2 linked regions of the Yarrowia lipolytica genome follow. The protein of the gene in region 1 purifies or fractionates together with the protein of each later gene. This does not show direct contact. Links are inferred from orthologs where the notes say so. Each region holds a gene or a part of one and is shown on either strand. Other genes may lie near its edges.

Region 1 (2,657 bases):
TCGTGCGTTATTGTGTGTGTGTGTGTGTGTGTGTGTCTGCTGTTCCCGTCTGGTTTGCGTGGAGTTTCACGCGGCTTCTGAAATTGATCTGTCACGTGCTTTCGTTCGGTCGTGGGTCACGTGATCGCCTGGTTGCTGTTGTCGTAGATACCACTGCTTTTTCGACGTTCCGTCCACGTCTCTCTATCTCGTGTATGTGGAGACACACCACTCACCCCACAGTGCAAGGAAGTGGCAAAGGCTTATTTGTGGTAGGGTTAGGGTTTTTCGGACATTGGCGACCGAATGGGAATTGTTCTTCTCGAGTGCTTGTAGGTGAGTGAGACCGGGTCGACGGTGACAAAAGTGAGCATCCCCATTTTGTGTGTATTTCCCTTGAGTGAGGCGGCAGATGTGGCTTACTAAGTGGTGGTTTTTGGGTTCAACAACGGAGTTAAGAAATTTCACTTGAAGATTAAGTAGAGTCTAGTGAGGGAGGTGGTAAAGGAAGGTGTATAGTGCAAGTGGATTTGGAGGCTATAAAAGAACAGGGAAACAATTGTTAGGGTTTATTTGCCGTGGTGAACAAGTTGGGCTTCTTTGAATCGTGATTGTAGCACTAGTGCGATTTGTAGTCTGGCTTCAGTTTATGTGGAGCCTTCCGGAGTTAACTAAAGCCAACTGTGAAACAGGGGTTGATCTGAAACACAACAATTGACTGTAAGGGAAGTTGAGACGGAGGGGTGGGGAACCAATCAGATGATTATTTGTAAGTGGGATTGAATGATACATTATCTTGCGTAGGATTCTAGAAGAAATCTCTGGACTGAGCTTGTGTCTGGTTCTTATATTTAGCAGCTGATATCTGCACACGTCGCTGCTATCTACAAACGTGTGGAATCCAATTCGTCTCACAGAGATGCTAGGAAGATGAGAAGTTGATAGTTCAGTTCATCAGAGCTAGGACAACAGAGTAATATTAATTTTGACATTGTTTCATCACTTTACCCTGTTTATCACTACATGTTTTATAACTACAGTATGTACTGTACCATGTTCATACCATGTTTGATAACTACCATGTTCATCACTTTACCATAGTTGAAAGTGGAATCACGGTAAGGGTTCCATAATCCACAAGAGTAGTATAAAACAGAGTATACAACAGATAGAATACCGTTTAGTCTGTTATATGGCCCATCGTTGGATTCATATTGGTGTTATATATCCGTTTAGCACTATGACGCTTCATCTCAGTCTCACAACCCTCAACTGTACTGGTTACAAACCCAAGTAAAATGTAACTAAATTTAGGTGGTGGTGACTGCAGAAAACTTCATTGGAGAAGTCTGGAAAAGACACAGACCAAACTAGACTTGGGTATTACTTCAACATTACAACAATAGCTATCAATTGTCACACAAATATTCTCATTATAACCCGCTCAAATCTCTCCAAATATCGGTTCAAATAAGGTTTCGAGACCAACCTTATCTCTCACCAGATTTAAAATCATCATCTACTGGCTCAAACAGCTGCGCAAGAGAATAAACAAGTTGACAGACATTTTTTGTGCCTCGCTTAGTATTGGTTTAGGACTTTTCGCATCAAAATCAAACATGTTCAAAAAATGCACCACAACCCTTCCCACTCCCGGGTAACCAACTCTAAAGTGAAATTTCACCTGCAGCTCATTCCACTCTCAACATCACCACCACCATGGCTCCCAAAAAAGCGGTCCAGACTGCAAACACCATTGTGAAAATCATCGTTGGCGCCGGTGCCGCCAAGCCCCAGCCTCCCGTCGGACCCGTGCTTGGATCCAAGGGTGTCAAGGCCATTGATTTCTGCAAGGAGTTCAACGCCAAGACGGCCCATTACCAGGACAACATTCCCATTCCTGTTGTGTTGACCATCAAGCCCGACCGAACCTTCTCGTTCGAGCTCAAATCGCCCCAGACCGCCTTCCTGCTTCTGCGAGCCGCCGGGGCCGAGAAGGGAGCTGCCAAATACAAGCCTGGCCGGGATCAGCCCGTTGGCCAGCTGTCTCTCAAACACATTTACGAGCTGGCTAAGATCAAGAAGATGGACTCGCGACACAAGGACCAGCCTCTTGAAAACATTTGCAAGTCCCTCTGTGGAACTGCGCTTTCTGTTGGCGTGGAGATTGTTAACTAGAGGCCTGGACGAGACAGAGAATCAAAGCACACGGGGAAACAGACAGAGCATGTATATAGTAAAGATAAGATGAAGTTATGATTCGATGATGGGAGAGGAAGGAACCTGTCTGATTGGCGTGGTGGAGTGTATCTCGCGGTGGTAATCGATCTTGGCTGGTATGATGCGTTTATTTCTAGAGGTGCACATGGGCTATCGTAAAAGTGCTAACAGACAATAATTTCGCTTGAATAGCGGATTCCGACAGGAACTTCACTTTTTTGAGCTCATCTCTCCCAAGTGTGGCTTTCGATATGTGCCATAACAGCAGCTTAGGTGGGTGAAAGTGCAGTTGCTTTCAGCACCACTTGTTCGGAAGAGATTCCAACTTACGATCCCACCTTGTTCAGTACGGCAACTACAAGTACGAGGTTGGAACTAAAACTACAGTCTTGTGTATTTTACTTCCAATTCTTGTTACAAGTACAATACTCGAGTACACCCAGTGCGTTTGAAGCACT
Region 2 (3,622 bases), about 520 kb from region 1:
CCTCTATTGTAGCTGTTATATTGATGCAGATGTCATCAATTGTATATCTCTCCCTGTTCTCTAACCGACATCTCAAGAATACTGCAAAAGACGTCTACAAATAAAAAGTGTGTCAAAGCTGTTTTATTTTGGTCCATTTTGTTTTTATCGAGTATACAGCTCTCCACCATCCTCTCTACTGCGCGACTCTGCCCCACGTTCTCGACATCATCACCTAGACTCCGGTGCAGGAACCTTCCACTAATATTTCAAGTATGCTGCTTCATCATCAACAAGCAATAGGTAAGGAGTGCACTCCAACCAGACCACTTCAGTTCTTTACAAAACATTCGTAGAATGGGTAACGAAAATGTAGCTAGTCTACAAACTGAATGATCGCAGAGAATTCAGTTGTCTACTCGAAACATACCTGTTCCCGCTCCCCATGCTCATTGAATCATTTTATTCGACGTCGACGTCTCCGGCACTCCTTGTGTCATGCCTCAGCTCTACTATATACACTAAATAACAACGGGACCCTTGTCGATAAAAGTCCCATTGTACCCCTCTTCCTGGGGTCGGGTCTGCTCAATGGGGGAGTACAGGTAGTATCCCTTGAGAGCGTTGACCGAAGCTCGGATCTTGGCCTCGGCAAGCGACGCTCCCTGGCCTTCTCCAAGCTTGTGCTTGCCGGAAAAGACACCAACAACAAAGACGGGGGCCTTGGACAGACGGCCGGTCTCGGCCATGAGTCGGGCCTCAGGTCGCTCCAGTCCCTCTCGTGCACACACTCGCACAATCTCCTTGTGGGGCTGGTTGAAGGAGAAGAGCGACTCAACGTCGACGGCTCGCGACAGAATGAAGTTGTCGATGAACTTAAGCGCCTCGTCTCGCGACACGTGTGCGTGGATGGCGGCCACCAGAGCCTGCACAAACCGGGCAGCCGATCGCTCGTAGCCCTCGGGAGCTGACGAGTCAAACACGTAGACCTGCGAGTCGTAGTTGTGCTGCGAGTTTTTCTTTTGCTTCTGGTTGTATTTCTTCACGTCGGATCGGGGAGTGTAGGAGTCGAACACACCGTCCTTGGAGGCGTTGCTGACGTCGTCCTCCACGGGCTTGTATCTCAGGTAACCCAGGGTGTTTGCGAGCGAGTCGTTGGACATGTGTCGCTCAAAGGCAGATCGTCGGTCGGTCTCGACACCCCAGGACTCGGCCAGACGAGTCAGAGATCGCAGACTCAGATGGGAGTCCAGCAGTGAGTTGAGAATGGGTAGAGGAAGCCGGGGGTACTGGACCACAAACTTCTCCGTCACGTGATACTTGAGCAGACTGCCGCCAAACACAGACATGCCGTAGTTGTCGGCCAGCTTTCGGCCGTCCTCTCCCACAGTGTCGGCCTCGGGACAGGTCAGACACTGGGCCAGAGTAGACAACGGCAGAGCCTCGGGCAGACCAAGACGAGCATGCAGAGTTTTGAGAGCAGGCGACTGTCGGGCCAAGTCACCGGGGACGAGGTAGTCGCCCTTGGCCACGTCTCGAAGATTGACACTCAGATCAGAGTTGGGGTACCGAAGAGCTGTGGGGTCCATGGTGGGGGCCTGGGGAGGAGTCTTGGGTTTGTGGTCAGAGGTGAAGCTTCTCGGGGCGCACGTGATGAGTCTGGACCGGGACACGGCCACTCGAGACACCCGCAAAAGTCGACTGGTTCGAATCATCCTGTCGTGGTGATATGTGGAAAGTGAGTTGTGAGTACAGCTGTAGGGAAATTTTCATGATGCACAGGGTTAGGGTGTGGGAGGAGGGTGGTAGTTTCTGGGCGAGTGTCGACCTTTGTTAGAGTTTGGGTAGTGATAAATAGTTTGAAATGAGTTATTTAGTGTATATGGCTTTTTTTTTCAAAAAAAAGTGGTATTATTGATATATAACAACGCTCGTAATCTGTATGTAGAAGGGACATGAGGAATTTCATTATATGGTGAAAAATTGAAATTATGAAAAAAATTGAAAGATGCAATCGATTTTATTAGCACTTTAATTATCATCTGATTGATTTCTCCATTAGTTTCTGATCATGTTCATATATTTACTCTGATTTGTTTCAACTTGTTCATTATATTTTGATTTGTTTTAGCTTAATCATTATATTATGATTTGTTTCAACTTGTTGTGAGTATGTTCCCAATAGTTCCCAAAACAGCCCGAGTATCTCAAAAAAATTATATTTTAGTCATTAATTTTGCAATCACCTAAAATTCTTGTCAATTTATTATCCACATTTTTCCTAATTTATCCAAATTGGTATAATGGCGAATCGAGCATGTCTCCATATCCGTGTCCCGGCTGACTAATAAAAATAGAGTTCGCTCCCAACCACCAATCACCGACCAGCCAAAGACTAGAGGTTTGCAGAAAGGTAATCCACACACTAACTGCAACATATATCAAAATGGTGAGTGCGAGCGGAAGGATTGGAGGGCGAGAAAGCGACGAGAACGTGTGCTACGCATGCGACGAGGACATGGGTGGTTTTTTGTTGGTTCGAATCGGACTTTGGAGCGACATATGACCCAGTGATGAGATGAGATGCGATGACATGTGTCTGGGTGAAACGACAACGATAAGGGCTGCGTGATAACGACAAGGGCTGTGCGAGCTGCTTGCTGGAAGATCGAAGCTGACCTCGGCGCTTGATCTGAGCTGTCATTGAACAGACACGGTGGGTGAATGTGGGGTATGACCATCCAATGGTTGCAGCAGCATGTCAAGTTGTGTCTGAGATCGTGAGCAGAGATGCCACGTATGAATGAATGAACGTCATGGACCCGTCATTTTCACTGCTCAGTTCACTCCAATGACAGTCTCATCGCACTGCTCGTGGAAACGCTCGGACGCGCTCAAGGCAGTGGACCCCGAGCACGACAACCAGACGCAACGAACAACGACCCAAGCTAATATCATCGTTTCTCAATACTCCATAACTCGCCGTAACGGCGCTTTTGTCTCATTTGACTCTTCTAACCCAGGGCGGAGGACGATATCCATTCCCTAAAGACGTCATTTCTATGACCGGAGGCTGGTGGGCCAACCCCTCCAACTGGAAGCTCAACGGCCTTTTCGCCACCGGCATCGCCGTCGGCCTGGCCCTGTGGGTTTCTACCGCCACCCTTCCCTACACCCGACGACGAGAGGGCATCACCTCCGAGTCCGACATTTCCAAGTGGAATGCCGCTGCCGGCGTGTGGAGAGAGCGACACGGCAAGATCAGCACCGGTGAGGCTGCTGAGTCTGAGTAAACACAATAGATTGATTTGAATGAACCATGCCGACACTTGTGCAGTCACTACTTGTAGTGTCACAGCAAGTTGGTTGTAGACCCAATCACTATCGCTGCAGGATGCTTCGGGTGTCTGGCTACTTGTATTTCGTACAATTACTGCTTGAAACCTGTGTCGCGTAGATATCCTGTGGTTTAATATCTCTGGAAGAGCGTCTGAGAGCACAAGTCCTTGTATCGTGAACATGCAGACCCAGCCGAGACTCCGTCGTGCTGCAGATGAAATCGATACGACAGATGAGTATATGTACTGCCTGTTCAACTGGGTGTAGTTCGGGCGGCGTTATACTCCAATCGGTTGTTCCCCAC

Evidence for each region.
Region 2: the proteins of YALI1_D27884g (region 1) and YALI1_D22704g purify together in Saccharomyces cerevisiae (affinity purification with mass spectrometry; 3 studies listed by BioGRID). This does not show direct contact. The link is inferred for Yarrowia lipolytica from reciprocal best matches to the Saccharomyces cerevisiae genes MRPL19 and MRPL3.

The regions. Positions count from the first base shown.
Region 1 is NC_090773.1:2,786,706-2,789,362, forward strand, and holds YALI1_D27884g (mitochondrial 54S ribosomal protein uL11m), read left to right. Parts: upstream 1-1,698; coding exon 1,699-2,157; downstream 2,158-2,657.
Region 2 is NC_090773.1:2,268,479-2,272,100, reverse strand, and holds YALI1_D22704g (mitochondrial 54S ribosomal protein mL44), read right to left. Parts: upstream 1,695-3,622; coding exon 501-1,694; downstream 1-500. Other genes in the region: YALI1_D22691g (uncharacterized protein), read left to right, coding at 2,426-2,428, 3,003-3,272. UniProt on the Saccharomyces cerevisiae protein: Component of the mitochondrial ribosome (mitoribosome), a dedicated translation machinery responsible for the synthesis of mitochondrial genome-encoded proteins, including at least some of the essential transmembrane subunits of the mitochondrial respiratory chain.